Linked DNA regions of Nothobranchius furzeri. The protein of the gene in region 2 purifies or fractionates together with the protein of the main gene of each other region. This does not show direct contact. Links are inferred from orthologs where the notes say so. Each region holds a gene or a part of one and is shown on either strand. Other genes may lie near its edges.

Region 1 (10,806 bases), on a different chromosome or scaffold from region 2:
CAAAACAGAATTCAGGATGCAGACTCTTGTCACCCCACAGCAGGAGGGGAATCATTTGAATTACACTATTTATGAACTGCAGGTAAATATTAGTGATTCTGACATATTTTAAATCAGCATGACCTGCCTTAACTAACTTCTCCTTCTTGTTTTTATTGCAAGTCCAGCATCTTAACGACCAAGTTCTCTAAAGTCTGCTTCCGTAATATTTGGTGTTTTACCCTCCCAGAGTATTTCCTAGTGGGCAAACGGTCCCGCTGTTTTTAGTTCCCTACAAATAAAATAAAGCTTTGAATGATGGGATCCAGTCAATAAAAAGCAGCCAGACAGATGATTTGCTACTTCCTGGTGTTGTTTATGGGATGGGCTTTTTGTTGTTTGCTGCAGTGTGATGAATCATTTTAGTTTGCTGGTATATAACCAGGTTGTGTATGCGTGCCGTGTGTGTGTGTGTGTGTGTGTGTGTGTGTGTGTGTGTGTGCGTGCGTGCGTGCGTGCGTGCGTGCGTGTGTGCATGTGTCTGTGTGTGTGTATGTGCATGTGTATGTATGTGCGTGTGTGTATGTGTGCGCGCGCGTGTGTGTGTGTGTGTGTGTGTGTGTGTGTGTGTGTGTGTGTGTGTGTGTGTGTGTGTGTGTGTGTGTGTGTGTGTGTGTGTGTGTGTGTGTGTGTGTGTGTGTGTGTTTATGTGTATGTGTGTGTATGCGTGCATGCATGTGTGTGTATGTGTGTGTGTGTGTGTGTGTTTGCATCCCCACCTCTCCCAGGTGGTTATTTATATCTGTTTCAGTACATTTTTTCTCATTACACTTCCCATAAGATAACCAGAAACCCTTTTCTTCTTCTATCAGAAGGTTTTTGCTCATTCTGCCCACCCTTAGCCTGATCACCTTTTCCTTGAGAACTCTGAACCGATAATGAGACGTGGCACTGAGCAGCGGTCAGTGTCATTTATGCTGTAATTGGCCTGAGGGTGTAAAGGGCAGCCTCTCATCAAAGAGCACAGAGAACTAAGTGTCTTTACGCTGACAGAGGTGAAAGATGGAAACTCACTGTAGGCAGAAAGCTTCAGGAAATCACCACCTGAGGAGATTTCTTTGTAAAAAAAAAAAATAAACAGAAAGAATAAATGGTGCACAAGTAAGTTATGTATTCAAAGGAATATTAAAATATCAAAAAGCGATGACATTTTAATCTTATTTCAGTAACAACTCAAAGTACCATGTGTTCAAATTAACTCAATCTTGTCAATTAACAATAAAAAAATCTCATTACTTATTAAGACAGAAAAAAATTTGAGTTTTTATTTTCTCCAGATTTGAACCATAAATGTGGCTTCATAAATATTCTAATATTCATCAATTCATCAGTAAAAAAACAAGGATTTTCCAACAGCAAACATCTTCCTCCCTCATTAGGTTCTGCTTGGTGAATGTCACGATCTGCCCCTGCCCTCCTGACTGTGTTCCTCTCCTGCCTTGATTACCCTTATTGTTCCCACCTGTCCCTCATTAACCTGCCCATGTTTCCCTATTAGCCCTCTGTATTTATACCACCGGTTTTGCCCCTGTCCTTTGTCAGATCATTGTTGTTGTTTCAAGTCATCGTTGTGTTGTGTTGTGTTGTGTTGTGTTGTGTTGTGTTGTGTTGTGTTGTGTTGTGTTCCTGCTGTTCCCGTTCTGTAATTAAATTCAGTTTTATTTTTCATCCGTGCCTGGTCTTCTGCCTCCTGAACCCACCAGCACCACACATGGTCCCACCATCTCCACCCTCACAACATGACAGTGAACCGTAAAAAACTACATTTCTGAGATACTTTTCTAGAAGAAAGAGGGAATCTTACCTTCACCCCGTGGAGTTTTAGAGTCTCCAGTCATTCATATTCATTAATTTATTGCTCTGTTTACTTTTACAAATTATTCCCTACTTGCTTGAAGCAAATGCATATAATCTGATGGACCTAAATTCATTTGAATATCTTTTATTTCTCCAAAATATGTGCAGAATTAAAGAGTCGTTGGCAGTTTTTATTTTTTGTTTTGTTTTGTTTTGTTTTGTTTTTTGTCAGCTGACTGGAGGGCTGCATGAATGATTGCAGATACACAAAGCAGGTGTGGTTTTGCTCATGCTGATATCATGGCTCATTGGAGAAATAACCCCTGTCCCCATTGATCCGGGTGACCAGAGGCTGGAATGGTCGGGGCGGAATTTTTCAGTGATTGATTTTTACTACTTATAGGTATGAGTGTCTTAGCGTACAGAGAAATGTGAAAGCAGGATTACCAGGAAATAGGTGTATTGGCTGATGATTCTGGGGCTTATTTTACAAATTAATAAAGGGAAGAAAGAATAGGAATAATAACTTTTTGTTTTTTCATTTGACTAAATATTGAAATGATTTTTGTTAACATTTTTATGATAGTTGTTACTTATATTTAATGCTTGTCATCCAGGTAATTGCCGGTCCATATAATGCTAAACTATGTGGTTCATTTGGTTTTTTAAAAACCTGATATGCTTATTGTGTTGTAGGTGGTTTTGCAGTTTTCTCTTCTTTTATATATTTAATGTATTCAAAGTCACACCTGTATGAATACTGGAGTAATTTTGTTTTGCTTTGTTGTTATGTGTGTGTAGCACTTTCAGTCTATGATTGTGGTCTCTGTGCATTTTATTCCTTGTTATTTATGGATTTTTGTATTTTTATTACACATTTATTTTTTGTCTACCTTGATTATTTTATAACCTGCAGCAATAATGAACACCGTGTAAATTTTTATCTTGGAGATGAATGAAAACATTATTTTCTGTTCAGTTGATCCAGATACATGTTTGCTCATTTGAACAAGAAAACAAACTGCTAAATTAATTTAAAAAGTGGTTTTGCAGCGAATGTAACTGTGGATAAGTGAATAGTAGTTGTGGGTGAAAAGAAAAAGTGCCACCTTTATTGCTCTCATTTATGAATGCCACACTGCTGAACAAATGTCGCCCTCTTGTGGCAAATTTAGGTTGTTTTGTCATTTTGTTTGGGTTCAAATAACATTTGAGCGTACTAAACGCAAGAAAGCAGCTTATTTCCACAGGGGAGTGGAAAAAAATCCTTATTCTTGAAAGCCAGATACTAAAAGATTAGTCACATAAATCCCTTATAGACAGCGTATGTGGCCATCAATCACCTTCATTTGGCAGCGTATTCCTTCTTGAACTCATTTAGTTTTAATATAAAATGTCTGTTGTTTTGGTATTCCGTGTTTGAATGGTTTTATAAATCGTTTAAATTTCATCTTGTTCCCTCTGTATCTTCTTTTTTATTATTATTATTAATTTTTTGTAACTATTGTTATTTTAATGTTTTTATTTTTATTTTTTGTATATTTGATTAATATACCTCCCACCAGAGGGTGTTCCTCTCTTTTAATTTGACATCTTGAAGGGGGTGTGAATGTTTGGATTCGTGTGTTGTTCTTGGAATTTATTATTTTGTTCTTTTCTGTTTTGTTAAATAAAGTTTAAGAATTTCAAAGTTATTTTAACATTTCACCAGCAGGAGGCGCCATTACCCCGTGTTCATGGGAGGTCAGTGATGATTCCGAAATCCGGAAGTTTAGAGTCAACTTGACGATTTTTTTTTTCAGCTGCAACCAAACCGCATGTAGCAGGATTCTGGATGTTCATAAAACAAGCTTTTCTGCTGTTACAGCGTAAGTTAAATATGCCATTATACGCAATAGCATTTTATTTTAATTTCAGAGTCAACGTTTGACGTGATATTTGTTTCATTTTTTGTGTTAGCCTGTTAGCTAACTTGGCTAGGTGCTAGCTTGCTAGTTGTATGTTTTGTTTTGACACTGTGGTCATTTGTGCTGTCGTCGTGCAGCCTGTTGTCCTTTTAGTTGAAATGCCCGGCCGAGGTGGATCCTGGGTCTTTGTTCCAGCCACATTAGTGACCGTGCTGCTGCTGGAAACTGCTGTTCCTGTTCAGGCCAAGGTAAAAACAAACCGACCATTTTATGTCCTGTTAGAGCTTGTTTTTGTATTATTTTGATTTTCAGTGTCAACTCAGTAACTTGTGTTACATTATAACAGATCTACCCTTTATGTTTTCATTGCATATTAGAGCAAAATCATAAATCAGTGCTTGTCAGAGAAAACCTTTATATGTGTGTGATTTTATCTTCAATCTACCACTATATTAAGGTCACATCCTTAAAAACAATGTTGCATCTTGTGCAGTCAAATATGTGCAAAATATCTTAAAATGCATCGTGGATCAATGAGAAGACCCAATCTTTAATTAACTTTTCTTGACTGTTGCAGAACTTTGAGGATGTGCGCTGCAAGTGCATCTGCCCACCCTACAGAAACATTTCTGGACACATCTATAACAAAAATGTCACCCAGAAAGATTGGTAAGGAACTTTATTGCGACAAAGTATCCTTTTAGGAGGGTGAGTTTGAGCAGCCTGCAGGAAGGTATTGTTCTAATTATTTTATATTAAAGGAGTCATCACCTGAAGTTTTCACTTTTCCACTTGAAAAACTGTAAATATAATGATTTCCTAATTATTTTTCACTGGCCGGGAAGCCGATAATTTAACATTTAACACTGATCATTTTTTTACTCTTGGTTTCTTCAACCAGCCCAGGTGCATCCCCTGAGCCCCTTGAGTTCTGGCCTTGATGTTGTCACAAAGGCAGGATGTACAGTACCATATATGGACAACGCAGAGCAACACCGCTATAGCCCGCACTGCTCTGCTTCCCCTCAAATTCAGTCGAGCACCGCCATTACTGAAATCAGGAGAACGGAAAATGTTGAAGTGTGTTTCACATGTGAGCTGCTCAGTTGTTGACTGCAAACTCCACACAAATGTGTTTGTTTTACCAAAATCAGACCAACCCAGCAAACATTAGTCCGACAGCAAGGCTGTGAAATATGTGGAATTCACGGCCAGAAAAGACAACTAGTCGTCGTTAAAAATATAAAAATAATAATTTGTAATTTCAAATATTAAACTTTTATCGCTCTGACGTAATTTCAGCTGTGATCAAGGGTCCAAATGTTTGCTGGGTTTTAACACCATTATTGGTAATAGACATTTTTTTCAGTTAACAAAAGTTGTCGAAGAGAGCTCAGTTAGCAAGACACCCGACTTACACACAGAGAACCCGGGTTCAAATTCAGGCTGGGACATACGAGATTCTGACTCAGATTGCAATTATTTAATTTTTTTAAATATGTTTTTTACTGTAATAAAGTAATAAGATGCTCAAATTTTTATTGTTAGACGTCTAAATGAGATGCGCTGAAAAACGTTGAATTCACTGCCAGAAAACACGGTGGTTTAATTTTTTTAACCATGACGGGACGTCTCGGACTGACGTCGTTTCAACGGTCACGGGAAGCTGGGAAGCTTGTGGATTTCTTTTATTTTTAACAGCGCTGGAGCGTGAGATCGATAGGCGGATTGGTGCAGCGTCTGCAGTGATGCGGGTGTTGTATTGGTCTGTCATGGTGGAGATAGCTGAGCTGGAAGGCAAAGCTCTTGATTTACTGGTTGATCTACGTTCCCACCCTCACCTACGGTCACAAGCTTTGGGTAGTGACCGAAAGAACGAGATCACGGATACAAACAGCCAAAATTAGTTTTCCCCGCAGGGTGTCTGGGCTCTCCCTTAGAGATAAGGTGAGAAGCTCAGTCATCCGGGAGGGACTCAGAGTAGATCTGCTGCTCCTCCACATTGAGAGGAGCCAGTTGAGGTGGCTTGGGCATCTGGTCAGGGTGCCTCCTGGACGCCTCCCTGATGAGGTTTTCCGGGCACGTCCAACTGGGAAGAGACCCAAGACACGCTGGAGAGACTATGTCTCTCGACTGGCCAGGGAACAACTTGAGATTCCCCCGGAAGAGCTGGCTCAAGTAGCTGAAGAGAGGGAAGTCTGGGCATCCCGGCTTAGGCTGCTGCCTCAGTGACCCGACTCCGGCTAAGCAGCTGAAAGTGGATGGCTGTTCCTGAAACTCTCCCCACTACTCTCGATGTCTGTGCTAGCCATTTTAAGCCAGAATGCTTTATAACTTTTGGGGCTATATCAGGCGAAGATGGCATTGAGGATTCATCTAGAATGAGGGGAGATTCCAACACTGAGAAACTTACCTGAAATTCAAACGGTAAGGCAGAATTTATCCGTCACAGGCACTTTATTTTGGAGAGAGATGCTGAAGCGAAACATATGGTGTCAACACCCCTGCTTCCTTCCACCAATCAACTCATTTGCATTATTCTAATGTCCTTTTCATACAGCCAAAATATCGCCTTTGCTCTCGCGAGAAAACGTCCTTTACAAAAAAAAGGGTCAGAAAAGCACTTTTTGATTTTTTTTTTCCAATACAAATTATGTTTATGACCTAATATGACGTAGATACTTGTGATGACTCCTTTAATAAGATAGAATCATTTTTAAATTTTGACCTCATTAATTGTTTTCTTGTTCCAAAGAGATATAATCCAGCCCGACTTTAATCTGTTTATATTCTATAACCGTGATGTGCCCAATGAACGTAACGTTTTCATGTATTTACAGTACGTGCCTCCATGTAGTGGAGCCCATGCCAGTTCCTGGTCATGATGTGGAAGCGTACTGTTTGTTATGTGAATGTAAATATGAGGAGCGGAGCAGCAACACCATTAAGGTACAGCTGACTGTCTCTGAGTTTGGTTGTTTCTGTTTTAGCCCAGTATCCTAAACGTTATTTGTTCTTTATGTTAAATGTTTCAGGTAACCATCATCATTTACCTGTCTGTTGTGGGTGCACTGCTCCTCTACATGCTGTTTCTGCTCCTGGTGGATCCACTGATCCGCAAGCACGACCCGTACACTCAGCCTCTGCACAACGAGGAAGACTCCGAGGTGACCAACCAAAGAAACGGCACATTTCGAGCATCTGGTACATTCCAGTTTTTACAAAGCTGTGGATTGAAACAGTTTTTATGTGTGTGTTTAGGAGATGCGTCCTCGTGCAGAAAGCGGGTCGGCCAGAGGAAACACAGTTCTGGAGCGAGTTGAAGGGGCACAGCAGCGCTGGAAGAAGCAGGTGCAGGAACAGCGCAAGACTGTTTTCGACCGGCACAAGTTGCTAAGTTAGAGCTCTGTTGAAGGCTTTAAGGGTTAAAGGATGCAACCTTCCCAGTTCTGTGCTGTCACACGGTCACCAGCTGAGTTATCACACACCTGGTTGTCACTGATCAGCACCGCTTTGACTGCATTGCTGTTTCCTCACTTTAAAACATTTCACATGTTCGTCTAATTCATTGTCTTATAATTTATAAGGTAACTACTGTAAGCTAAGCCAGCTGAGTGGAGCGTAAACATCTTTTGCACACGCCATTAGTACATTTTCTCAGTCGCTTCTAGGAATGTCAATGCTGCTGCTTCAGATTTAAATTATTTTAGGGTTGTCATCCTTTTTAAAATATTTGTAAATATATATAAAAAAGTGTTGCATGATTAAAGAAGAAGTTGTTTCTACAGATCAGCTTGCTCACAGGATTCTACAGATGTTAGTTTAGTTGTAATTTATTGTTTTTAAACTCAGACTTTTTCATTGTTTGCACTAAGGATCGTTATTTTTTGGGTAGGTTAAATTTCTGTTGCTTCTTTGAAACTGATTGTCCATTTTTCCAGCTCTTTGATGCAAAAATGTATTTTATCAAACCATCACAATCTGTGGTCTTTTGCATGAAATTCTGCATCTGAAGTTTCAGTTTTTACTCCTAATGGAGTTTATTTTTGTCTTTGTTTTGTTTCTTAATTTGATGTAAAATATTTAGAGTTACCGAAACCTTTTTAGATGAGGAAAAAATTCTACCGATGTGTCGCACGGCCGCTCTCAATCATTATAAGATCACATGATGGAATGTTTAATGGAAGAATAAAAATCTATTCCCCCAAGAGATGAAATAAAACAGAATCAGTTCCAGGATGTGGTCATGTTTAGTTTTATTTTCCTCAGGCTGCATATTTATCTTTAGCCTGACTCAACAAAGCTCAGGCTTGGGCTAAGTGTTTAAATAAATGTAAGAAAAAAAAACGTGTATTCATTCTTTCAGATGTTTGGAGACTTCATCTTTAGTACAAGCAATTATTTTATCTGCCACCAGGGGGCGACAGAGTACACCGCCATTAAAATAAACGCCACGATGACGTTACCACTAACATGTCAGAGAGCAGATGTCATCCAACGTGTGTGGTTTGCATAAAACTAATACAAGTAAAAATATTTTTATGTGAATTAATGAACATTTTTTGTTTCCCAGAATTATGTAGCTAATTAAATAAAGTAATTAATAAACATCCTTCCTACGTTATTAAAAGGAAGGAGGTCCCTTTTACTGTTTTGCTGCACCAAACGTGCATCATCTACTGATAATTACAGCATGAGAACATATTGAATGCTTATATTTAATAATTCATGTGTGCAAATGTATGCATGTGAAAGCCAGATTTATCATCAAAGTTTCTCATTTAACAAAATATCCTTCATGCAAACACTTCAATAAGTGTGGAATTCAAATCTTGCTCCCAGGAGAATATTTTCCAAAAGAGCCACATTGTTTACACTTTAGATTTGGTTTGCTGCTGCAGGATGATCCCCCTAATCCCCTTGTTTTTTCTGCTCTCTGCTGCCCCTCCTTCCACTCTGCCCTCTAAACCATCCCCAAGCATGGCCTGCCAGTGGTTCACAATCTAAATTTAAACTGCTGCAAGGCCAACTGCTCTCTTCTTCCAGCTTCCCTGAGCTTCTGTTATTTTTCTCTGCTGGGGTGAGCTTTTTTCTGTCAGAGGCCCTCAGCCAGGGGAGAGAGAGGGAGCCAGAGAAGAGGGCAGCAGGAGGAAGACCAACACAAGAGAGGCTGATCTGGAGCCCTGGGGGCGCCACTAAAGGAAGTTACATGCTGCATCAGAGAGTTTGGGATTTTACATCAAGAGGAAACGTATTTTCTGGAATTTAAAGTTTGTGTAAAGTGAAGGAATCAGGATGGCAGCCAACGCAGAGGGAAACAAGTCGTTCATCATGAACGAGGAGGAACTGAAGAGGAAGCAGAGGGAGAAGCTGAAGAAGCTGCAGGCCACGGGGGGCAATCCTCGCCCTGCCAGAACTCTCTTCCTCTTCTCACTAAAAAATCCTTTCCGCAAGGCGTGCACCAACATCGTGGAGTGGAAGTATCCTTTCAAAATCACACCTTTTACACTTTATTGGGACCCGTGGGTGAAAACAGCAGCTGTGATCAAACATTATTTAAATCTGATGTCATCAGAGAAGTGGTTTAAGTGTTCAAACACTTTTGATTCGTAGCAAAAATGTCATAAATAATAAGGAACATATGAAGATTGTAGAACAGAGAGAACATGATCAGATGTACTATGGAGCAAGGATTGGGACAAAATTTCATGTAACTTGTAACATGTTTTGTAACAGCACCTTTTGCTTTGTAGCATGTAAATAACGTTTTGCAACACATAGCTTTTATTTTGTAACACATAATTCTAATTTTATAACATTTAATCTTTGGTACGTAACATGAAACTTTCATTTTGTAACTTGTTAAAAAATCTATGTACAAGTTTCAAATAACTCAAAATAAAAAAACTAAAGGTTTACAGTTACAAAACTTAAATCTACGTGTTACAAAATATTTTGTCCCAATTCTAGTTTCCTTTCCCAAAAAACCAATAACAAGCCTTGTCTGACCAGCCAATCTTAGGTCTGGGGCACACCGGAGACAGATGCACCGCGCCGCCATTTTAAGTAGAAGCCATTATAGTTACTGAGAATTACTACACGGGGAGCGCAACGCCGAGGCACTGAAGATAGGCACCAGTTCTATTTCATGCGCTGTGGTGCTTCCGTGGCGTGGCTGTTTACAATATTGTGGAGTACTTTACAACAGATAAGACGCTGAACGGCTTTACGGCACAAAGCCAGCCACAGTTTTGATAACTTTAAAGTACTATTGATCTTAAAATATTCTAATAAATAGCGTACGTAGAGTCTGACAACACGACAAGTCTGAGCATGTAAAAACAAAAGAGTCACTTTCTCAAGTCCCGCATGATGTTGTGATTATTGACTTTCCGAGAAGCGCTCGGCGGCGCTTCCTGTGTGACAATTTGATTTCCCAAAACCGCTGCGCGGCGTGTCTGTCTTCAGTGTGCCCCAGGTTTTAGATTCCTGTCCAATCATGGCAAAAAGGGCAGAGGTCTGTTGTACGGCTCACAACCAAACTTACATTGTCACTCTTTAACAGTAGGTGGCAGTCATTTTTAGAGAAATTAAACTGATGTAAATAATGAACTTACATTTTCAATTAGAGCAGAATATCCGAGACACATGATTGACTGATAAGACAAAGCTTTTCATTGGTTCTTTGGGGAAGGAAGCTAGAATTGGGACAAAATGTTTTGTGACTGTAGACTGAGATGTGTGTTTTGAGAATTGTGATTTTCTTTTTCTGCAAGTAACAAAAAGAAGGTGTTCCAAGTTCAAACATGTTACAAGTCACAAAACTTGGTACAAGTTACACGTAATTTTGTCCCAGTCCTAGCTCCATAAAGCATAATTTTCCCACCATTTTAAATCAATCAGTTACACAAAATCTAAAAATAACCCTTTAAATAGGAAATCTTTATTAGATCTCAATCATTTCAAAACATTTCTCTTATTAAATCACCAAAAATTACAGTTTATTGTTTGTTGCCAAATGTGTTGCATTACCATGTTAATCATTATGGTCTGGATGCTGTAA
Region 2 (10,359 bases):
TGTTTTCTTTGCACACTTTAGGCCCCTTAGTGCCAATTGGGCATCGTTTAAATGCCACGGGCTACCTGAGCATTGTTTCTGACCATGTCCATCCCTTCATGACCACCATGTACCCATCCTTTGATGGTGACTTCCAGCAGGATAATGCACCATGTCATAAAGCTCCAATCATTTCTAATTGGTTTCTTGAACATGACAATAAGTTCACTGTACTACAACGGCCCCCACAATCACCGGATCTCAACCCGATGGAGCATCTTTGGGATGTGGTGGAACGGGAGCTTCGTGCCCTGGATGTGTATCCCACAAATCTCCATCAACTGCAAGATGCTATCCTATCAGAATGGGCCAACATTTCTAAAGAATGCTTTCAGCACCTTGTTGAATCAACGCCACGTAGAATTAAGGCAGTTCTGAAAGCGAAAGGGGGTCAAACACCGTATTAGCATGGTGTTCGTAACAATCCTTTTGGTGAGCGTAGAAGACACTTTTAGGTAAAAGTACTTTATAAAGGTGGATCCAAGCAATCATCAGTGTTTTCATTGCAGTACAGACATATTTATTTTAATTTCTCTAGCATATCTCAGTTAAATTGACCTCTTGTGTGGCATTCAGATTATAAGGCTGGATTATTTTCTTCCTTTAGTTCATGCCCAGATATTCTCCCAGGTATTCCACCCGAGTGTAAGCAAGTCTGTTTTTTATTTCCCGCCCCGTTTTGAGTGCTTCCAAGAACAGGTTAAACACAGAGAAAACGATTCCCATCGGACAGTTCTGTGTACAGCACAAGCTTTTTTTTCTGATCTCCATCTGGGTCCTGCTGGATCCACAAGGTGAAAGACCTCATAAACATGTGATCTCATTCCTACGCAGTAATCCACTGCAGCCTAAGAGCTGTAAAAACAGATCAGCAAATCGTCATCTACCTTCCCAGACAGATTAGCCAATCATGAGTCACTTCCAGCGAGCGTGGGAGGGATCTGCAGGAGGTTACTTCCTTGAGGAGGGAAGAAACTTTGGGTTTGAGTTGCCCTGCTGTCCGTGGATCTGAAGAGTGGGCCAAGAATGAGTGATCATGGGCTGGGAGTTCTGGACTCGGCAGCTAGATGAGGAGGAACTGGTTGAGAACGGTGAGATTAATGCATTCTCTAAGTGTGAGGAAAAGTGAGCTGTGATTTTAAAGAGCTTGTTGGACTGCTTTTAGATCTCAAGCATCTGGAACTGGTTGTTCAGACTGACTCTTGTTTCCTTTAAAGTTTAGACCTTTATTAAATGTTACCTGGGTTTTGAATGAGACTTCCTTTTGTTGTTGCTTCGGCCTTTCATTTAATCTCAGAAGAGTTTAATAATTAAGACCGTTTACTGCCCCCTCAGGCCCTGTGTCATGTGATCTGTGTGAGTGATGCGGTCGACATTGTAAAATCCAAGCACTCTTATCTCCTTGTGTACTTTGTGTGTTTGAAGCTTTAATCTTTTTTTGTATGGTTGGTCTGACCCAGTTTTTTTTTAAGTAAAAAATTTGACATTTATCCTTTTGAAGTAAATATATTGACTAACTGATTAAGAAGCATTGATTTTAACGTGTTTAGCTAATGTAGAAGTAGCTTCTCAAGGCTTCACTTGTGTTTAGACTATCTGAATCATGTTGAAGGAGCTGCTAAAGTGAAGCCTTAAACAGGAGTCACATTCATACCATTTTACTGTGGACACAATATAGTTCTCCATGTTTATTTCAAAATAACTTGGTCTCCTTTCAGGCAGTCTCTGAGCAGTACTTGGACTTGTAGTATTCATAGTTTTACTGTCACGGAGTCAGTGAAGTCACACAAGCCTCAAATCAGAATATTGTTACGCTCTTCAAAACTAAACCATTCTGCTTCAAAGTCCACTATAATACACAGAAGTTACATGCTGTTTAGGACTAGAATGGATAAATTCCTAATATTTATTCATTCTAATGGTGTTCTCTTAGGCACATTGTGATACGGCAGGTAAAAGCTTGCCAAAAAATAAACGTCTTCAAGAATCTGTACTGTATCACACTCAAGGAGGCGATTCTGACCGGTTAGATTAGTCTCCAGATTAAACACGTGACCATTACCCCACACATGGGTTCAACTACAGAACTGTCACAGAAGTCAAACTTTAAACCCAAAGTTGCACAAACTGCTTTTCTCTTTTTCATAACCCATACTCAGACTTTCAGTTGCACTTCTGTAGGTCTGGACTCAGGTTGTGATTTTAGTTTTTTTTTTTACAGTCGGCTGACTGCTTCATTATAAGACTGTAGTATGTTATGTAATATAGAAGTTATAAACTTTACACCAAAGCCAATGAAATCGCCCTCTCGCCTTTTATTCTGTTGAACGTTACTAATTTTTTTCATGTAGGTGAGACACTTCAGGCCCTAGAGAACATATTCCTAGCATGACTGCGTAATTTGCTTTTGTCCGTCCAAACCACTCTAACTTGCTCTCTTATTGTGTTTAATGCCTGGCTACATTCCTCTTCCTGGATGGAGTGGTGCTCAATCTTTGACAGTGTTTTGAATGAAGGGAATGTGACAGAAAGCTTGATAATTCCAGAATTTCTGGACCTGCTGGAATGTCAATACATTTTGCAACAGGATTAGGATTCATTTCCTCTTAGAAATCAGCTAGATCAAATTTGGCTAAAGCGATTGCTTTGCCTTTTTACATTTTTTTTGGTGGATTTCCATCAGTATTTTCTTTGATTTGAACTCTGAGTCAATACAACCTGAAGAGAATGTTACCTCCACCATCTTTTACATTTTTATTGTGACTTCCATTGACACAGAAATATAGGTTTAATCTAGTCCCAAATTATTGTTTTATTCCTATAAAAACTCAATTTTGAGCTTCAAGCAAAGCAGACCTTTTGTCCTGTTTCTGTTGGGTCCTGGTTATGGCTTCTTACTGGATGTGATCATGTAAAGAACATATTTAATGTTCTGTAAAACATTAGAAAAACACTATCTAATGTCAAAAGTTACTTTGGTTATCTTTCCAGGTTTTCAGATAACTAGCAGGTGTTTAAAAATACTAATCAAGGGAACTGGTCAGGCTTCCCTAAAAACATGTGGTTTTGGAGTCACGTGACTCATTCAGTACCTAGTTGGAACAGTAATAGTACCTTTGTTTTCCTCAAATATCTTCCTTTTTTTAAATGAAAATATAAAGTTTAGACCTGTTTGAATAAAAGGGCTTCGACCTGTGTTTAACATGGATAACGCCCTTTAAGGGTAGGGTAACATCAGTGGCGCAGAACAGTTTACTCAGGCTTTGCGGTGCATCAGTCCTCGTCAGGGGAGCTTCTCAGCCGCAGAACGACTTCTCCGCCATCCTTGCTGGACTTGCATGATCGCAAAATTCCTCGAGACTTCATAAATCGCGGTTTGTTTATGCAGTCCACCATTAAACCAAACAGAAGAAGATGGCATTTGATATCACTGTTTGATATCCTAAATGATGTTGTTCCTCTCCACTGCCAGGGTTAAAGCCATGAAAGGCAAACCGATGCACTTCTCGAACGATGCAGGGAGGAAATAAGCTGTTGGGTCACGCATAAAAGCACAGTCTACGTAGATAAGAAATAGATTCTCTGCAGTATTCTTTTATTTTGACATTTTACACTGAAACCGTGTGTGATTTCCTGTATAGCCCGATGTTAACTGTGGAAATGAATGTGTCTCTGAAGCAGCTCTCAGCAGACATAAAACTCAGTCTTATCTTTGGCTATGCGCTGCTGCCTGTTTGGATCAACCCATAGACTAATGGGTTTTATTTGACGCAGCTACGTTCTACTGCCGTTCTGCCACCACTGATGCCGCCAATTTGAACCCAAGGTAAGAGTTCCCGGCAAAAGCTGTTCAAGCAAGCTACATTTTGAAAATGGACAATTCAAAGGTTAAAACCCCTTTCCTTTTCCAAGTCACGCCCAGGAATGGGCACTGAAACTCTGTGCTTCTTTAGTACCATCTGAAAACATTTGTTACTGGTACTGGAAAAATGACAATCTTTGCTAACTTTGGGTACTTTCCCAATATAAACTTATGTTAATAAGCCACACATCTCATTCCTCCTGCCGTTGTGCATCATGTGACCAGTGACGTGACCAGTGACTCAGTCACGTGATTGGGGACGCTGGCAGCTCTCTCAGGGAAGCAGCTTGTTTGTTCAAAACACCTCTCTTAAGATTGCGGACTAAGAAAATGTCAGATTACCAAAAAAGTGTCATTCAGGTACAGGTGGCAAAAACCAGGTATCTTTAAAGTACCACTGTTGAAAAAAACTAAAGGTACCATACCCTAGCCACACCTGTAGAATACAAGAGAATGCCGGACGGAGTAGATAGGTCAACAAAAACCATAAAATCCAACGTCATCTTACTCATTAAGACAAAACTGAGCCACCATGGTGTGGGTTTGCAGCCCTTTTTGCTCCTTCAGTGGTCATTGGGCTGTTTGATGGATGGATATTAATCCAATCATTGGGAACAGGACGTTAACAAACATTGGTTGAGGTTTTTCCATGATTGTGCATATCCGAGGAAAATTATAAATTTTTTCACTAAATTTCATTCATTGGTAGCCATCGGTATGTGACTATTCTTTCTATGTAGGGATTTCATAACATTTATGGCACGGTCACTTGTAGCTTAAATTGTCAATTGGGGACAAATAAAGTTTTCTGAGTCTGAAGAGCTTTTTAAGCAGAATGCAAAATCTGTGCTCCAGAAAAACATGTCCTACCCCACCTTCAGTAGGGGGCTGCAGCTGTTTCATTGTGTCTTTGCTCCAGATTCTAGTCGATGCAGTTTTGTTGAGGAGAGTCCTATTTTTATAACAATAGTAGGTAACAATACTTTGCTCCAGTGACTTTTTCACTAAAACCCTTTATCAATGGTTGCGTAGCCACCATGGTGGAAACAGTACACCCAAGGAGTGGGAGGGTCACGGTTCGGTACAGGTTATGTTTTTTTTTTTTTTTTTTTTTTTTTGTCTAAACGGAGTACAAGGATATGGTTTCTTTTTCATCCGGTCTGACCTGTAAAATAGGGCTGTGTGCTTCACTTACTGATTCAAAATAACAAGTTATACAAAACGTGAAAATACAAACTAAATGAAAACACTCATCAAGCTTGTCTTTTAGGTGAGTCCTACAGCAAACTGCCCACTGTTCTCTGCTAGAAGAAGACATTAAAAATCCAAGACTGTTAGCTAGCAGCATTGTGTAAAGCCCGAGTCATGCTTCTCCGTCAGCTCCAAAAGGGAGAGACACGCATGCACGGACGGAGACTTTTTGCCCTCATGCTCCTCCGTCTCTTGGGGAGTGTTGCAAAGCAATTCTCCACCATGACAACAGAGGGCGTAGCGCTGTTCTGTGGTATCCTGTCATGTATCGGTCCAAGATAGTGTATTTATATTGTGTTTTTTGTATATGAGACTTTTTAACACAGACAAATTTGTCTCTCATCCTCCTCCACCTTTTCATGCGCTCGCCACCTCTAAACCCACGTTTCCTGTCATTTCCGTCCACAAATAAAATGCTTTCTGCGCATCTTTTCACTCCTCCAGTCACGGGGGAATTAAACATTCGTGTTTTAGAGTTTTTTCGCGAGGTATTCTTGAAGCTTCTCCGTGTCTGCCGCTAGTTATCCTCGGCATTCTTTATGTTTTTGAGGGCGCAACGGCGGCGGTGTAGACTACAGCGGTGCCCTGACCAATCACAAGCTTGCGTTGTCCGTCTCGACGGACGGATGTTTAGAAAAGAGAGCTCGACTCCGTCCGTCCTTCCTCCAGCAGGCCCGCAAGGACGGATAATGGCGTTGCATGTCTCCGACCTGACGCAGAAGCATGACTCAGGCTTAAGGAGGAGAAGAGTGCTACATGAGGTCTTCTGGAGAGGAGGAGGGTGTTCAGTAGCAGGATGCTGTCCCTGCAATGCTCCATGGACCACACACTGTTAGATTCCCTGGCCACGCATGAGGGACTCAGCTGATTGGATCTGTGAACTGCTTTGATTGAGGTTTTGTTTCCTGTTATAAGTGTTTTTATTGTGTTTTAGTAACTTATTGTTCGTGTGAATGACTGCAGCTGGCCTTAAGGCCATTTCCTGCTGGACCAATAAAGTTTTTACCTACCTATTTACTCACTCTGAGATCTAAATCACCAGGGGGAAATGGTTTTTGGGTTCAAACAGCAGGAAAAGAATGACCTAAATATTAGAAAGTTCGTTTCAAGCACCGTTTTTCTACATTTTTTTGGGATTCTGCTTGGTGTACATTTAGTTTGGATGTGTTTGGGTGTTAGAAGAATCGTCGTATGCTAAACTCACTTTTTACATGTTTTGTGCTGTGGTGTGTGTGTGTGTGGCTACTTCCTCTATAAACTCTCTGACAGAAAAACAGATCAGTGGTTGTCTGTCAGTGTTTGAGCTCCTTTTAGGTGGATAATTCCTAAAACCAAACAGTCCCTGTTTGTGGGACTTCTACCAGCATCATAGAGCCATCAGGGTAAGCTGGCCAATCAGCATTTAATGTTCATGTCCCGACAGAGTGGGCAGGGCAAACTAGTCTTTCTAATGTAGAGCTTTGTTATGGGGGTTGTGTTTGCCCATTCATCGGGGCTCCTGGGCCATTGTGAGCCTCAACAAACTTTCAGATTGCTAAAGAACAGTTTACAGCAGTGGAAATAGCTTTTTCCTTATTTGAAAAACCCTCACAAGCCATAAAAAGTTTTTTTCCCCCAATTTGAAAAATTACAACCCCCCTCTGGTCACACTTTACACATGCCTGGATAAAAGTCTACTAAACAATTATAATCATGGAGCAAAGTGAACACACATAAAGGAAGTTGTTCGTCTGATACAAACATTGAGAAAAAGTGTCGAGACCCGTTCCAAGTAGAGCCGTTCCTTACAGGAAGTGATGATGGAAAACCAGGAGCGGTTCTTTAACTTTCTCTTCCCCTCCCTGATTCCCTCCTTCTCTCCCTCCCAGGAGGTTACGATGAGTACAGCAGCAGCAGCAGAGCCGGTATGAACGGGGGCGGACCAAAGAAGCTGGTGGACCTTCTGGAGGACCCTCTGCCCGGCGTGGGCACGTATGAAGACTTCAACACCATCGACTGGGTCAGAGAGAAGAGCAAGGACCGGGATAGACATAGAGAGGTACCGGAGCGGCACCGTTTGGACTAGTAAAGTCTGTTGGCCAGCACCAAGACCTGCTTTTTCCTTGTTTTTCTGATGATGCTAATGAAAGGGAAGCTGCTAAAGCAGTGATGGTGCAGCTTCATCGATCAAAGGAAGGGAAATCCATGAGTTACTGCGGCGAGAGTGGGGACATTAAAACCAGAAAAGAAGAAAAAAATAACATGATACACATCTATCTGATCTTCTCTGTGATGGTTTATATTTTTACAAACTTTTAGCTCAATCAGCAGTTATTTTTTTCTTACATAATTTTACTTTAATGCAGCTAAATCATGGTGAAGTGGTGATAAATTCAGTCTTAATGCAGGATCAACCATGAGAGTGCACACATCGCCACCCTGTATGACCTGGCTCTCTGCATGCTTTCCTCCCAGATCACCAATAAGAGCAGACAGTCGACCGTGGCCCTGCTGCGCAGCCTCAGCGACGCCTTCTCGGGATGGCTGCTCATGCTGCTGGTGGGACTCATGGCAGGTAGTTAGAAACACTTCCTCCTGTCGGTAAGCTGATGCTTTGGTTGGAAAGTCTTGGTTTGAGGCCGCTACAGAAGTCTGATTGAATCTGGAAATACACAGGAACAAAAATACTTGTGTACTAAAACATACACTCAAGTAGGGCTGCTCAATTAATCGAATTTTAATCCCAATTACGATCTGAGTTTTGAACGATTATAAAAACAAAACAAGCCGATTATTTGCTCCTCCCACTTGCGCTGCCCTGAGTTGCAAATGAAGCGCTCCTCCCAAAGTGTTGCCAACTTAGCGACTTTGACGCTATTTCTAACAGCTTTTCAGACCCCCTTCTTGACTTTTTAAATCTTAAAAGTACCTAGCGAACACCTCAGAAACATCTCTGGTAACCCTTAGCTACTTTCTGGATAACTGTCGTCGACATTTCCTGCAGGTTAGCTAAACACTCCGCCTGCGCTCCGGACCGTTCTTCAGGACATTAGGAAAGGGAATGATGTAGTGATGTGTCGGTCGCTAAAGAATCGTCTCTCAGAGCTGGCTCCCTGTTGTATTAACCAGAGTGAGTGACACACGCCGTACCTGCAAGCTCCTGACCCCAAAATTCCACTATCTCCGCTCCGCTCCGGCACGAACTCCGCAGCAAAAACGGTCCCGTTGTAATCAATCAGAGCTGTTCCACTACTGCGGCCGTGCGCCGCCCGCCGTTCCGCCATCCGGCAAAAATGGGATTGATTGATTCTATTTTTGCCGGACGCCGGAGCACCTCCGCAGTGAATGGACAGAAACCACAACCGCCCAACAGGAAAGGGAGCAAGCACAACTTCCGTTATTTCACAATAAATCGATAACAAAAGGCGTTTTTTGTTTCATATGCACAGGTTTAACAACTTTTAACAACTATCAATGGCGGTTGAACTTTAAATGCACAAAAATGAGCCATAAATACAGTTTCTACTATCAAAGTAGTCACACTTTGTCGATCCAAACACTGCTGATCTCTCAACACAAATGATGGGCAGATTAAACTGTTCATGCCGATGCTTCTCCCACACAACGGGTGTTTGGATCTAACTTCCGCGTTTATTGCTCGGACTGTATCGCAAGATCTCGAAAATCCCGCGCATGCCTGTTTGCGCACCTCAGGTCTCCGCACCGGAGCGGAGCCGTTGTAGAGCGGGTACCAGTATAATATGAGTTCAGAAGCGAGCGGCAGCGGAAAGCGGGGGCGGAGCGGAGATAGTGGAATTTTGGGGTAAATATGCACGTGCGGAGCGCTAAACGCACGTGCATCTTGCCTCTGATTGCTGTGAGACCGGGTTGGGGGGTGCAGCTGTGGTTGGGACAATTATTACATTAACTGATGGACTTGTAAATAAATAGTTTATAAATAAGGTAGAAATAAGTTCCTCATGCTGATAAATAATAACTAATCTCTCAGAGGACACGGTGCTTGTGTACTCTCCTACAGCACCTTGTCATGACTTCAATAAATGTTACGCAACATTTTGTGAACATCAATTTATTTGCATATATTTGTTATGAATGCCACTGTATAATTCTTGCTGTCAGTATTTGCAAGATATTGGTATTTGGGTCTGTACTGGTTAGACTTAAATGAGTTAAACCAAGGTCTATAGCCCTTGGGTCATAGACTATGAGCTATAAGTATATTGGTCTTTTTATACTGGGAATCAGGAGTTATTTTAGTGATCATCTTGTTTCTTATTTATTTTTGTCCTGATTGTGCCTTGAGCAATTTTATGACTGAATAAAAACAAATAAAATCAACATAAATAGAAAAATCGTCTTAAATAATCGAGATCTCAATTTCAGTCACCATAATCGTGATTATTATTTTTGCCATAATCGAGCAGCCCTACACTCTATAAATGTTTTCCATTAAGTTTTCTCAAATGTGGAGTTTTAGATGTTTTGACCTCTGAAGAGCTGGTCATTTATTAGGTTTAGGTTCTTAACTCATTCACTGCCAGCCGTTTCCTGATCTCTAACGGCCTTCGCTGCCAGCGTTTCTAACCGTTTTTACTGTTTTTTAAGAGTGACAGAACGTTGTGCGCTAGGATGATGTCGATGCCAAAACAATCAAAACAAAGAGGAGACTCACCTCTTACATCAGGAAGAATCCGTGTGTTTCGAGCGTTATCCGTTCTTTCATAATCCGTTGTTGAATTGTGATCGGCAGACGCTTTTCCGGTTCGCGCCTCACTTTTTTTACTGGAACGGCCCAAAACGATCTCCTAACACATGGATGGTCTGCTTCCTGATCATGTGACGTGTGACGTATGTGGATGAAGATCGGCTTCAGGGCCATGTTTGTTCTCTCAACGCGGGGGCTCGTTCTGATGCTCAAACAGTAAAAAAAATGCAAATGACGACTTTAGTCGTCATTGGCAGTGAATGAGTTAATTTGGGCTTGTAGGATCTCAGAAACATACTTTTAAAAATAATTTACAATTTATGTAATTATTTTGATTTTTGAAATTATTTTAATAATGAAATAATTTATTAAGTAATAAAAATCTATTGAAAATAATGTAAAAAAAATTCTAACAAAAATTCATATTAAATAAATTGTAAAAAATATTTAAGATAAACAGAATAAAATGGTGCAGTACCAAAAGCCAATGCCCTCATTATAG

The links.
Region 1: the proteins of clcn5b (region 2) and tmem9 purify together in Homo sapiens (co-immunoprecipitation; 3 studies listed by BioGRID and IntAct, with this or other methods). This does not show direct contact. The link is inferred for Nothobranchius furzeri from reciprocal best matches to the Homo sapiens genes CLCN5 and TMEM9.

The regions. Positions count from the first base shown.
Region 1 is NC_091755.1:26,871,426-26,882,231, forward strand, and holds tmem9 (proton-transporting V-type ATPase complex assembly regulator TMEM9), read left to right. Parts: upstream 1-3,566; 5' UTR 3,567-3,704; intron 3,705-3,880; 5' UTR 3,881-3,901; coding exon 3,902-3,991; intron 3,992-4,320; coding exon 4,321-4,412; intron 4,413-6,583; coding exon 6,584-6,692; intron 6,693-6,778; coding exon 6,779-6,910; intron 6,911-7,004; coding exon 7,005-7,145; 3' UTR 7,146-7,853; downstream 7,854-10,806. Other genes in the region: dihydropyridine-sensitive L-type skeletal muscle calcium channel subunit alpha-1, read left to right, coding at 9,039-9,223. UniProt on the Homo sapiens protein: Transmembrane protein that binds to and facilitates the assembly of lysosomal proton-transporting V-type ATPase (v-ATPase), resulting in enhanced lysosomal acidification and trafficking.
Region 2 is NC_091742.1:77,377,348-77,387,706, forward strand, and holds part of clcn5b (H(+)/Cl(-) exchange transporter 5), read left to right. Parts: intron 1-876; exon of another isoform or gene 877-1,075; coding exon of another isoform or gene 1,076-1,130; intron 1,131-7,020; coding exon 7,021-7,190; intron 7,191-7,606; coding exon 7,607-7,706; intron 7,707-10,359. UniProt on the Homo sapiens protein: Proton-coupled chloride transporter. Functions as antiport system and exchanges chloride ions against protons. Important for normal acidification of the endosome lumen. May play an important role in renal tubular function.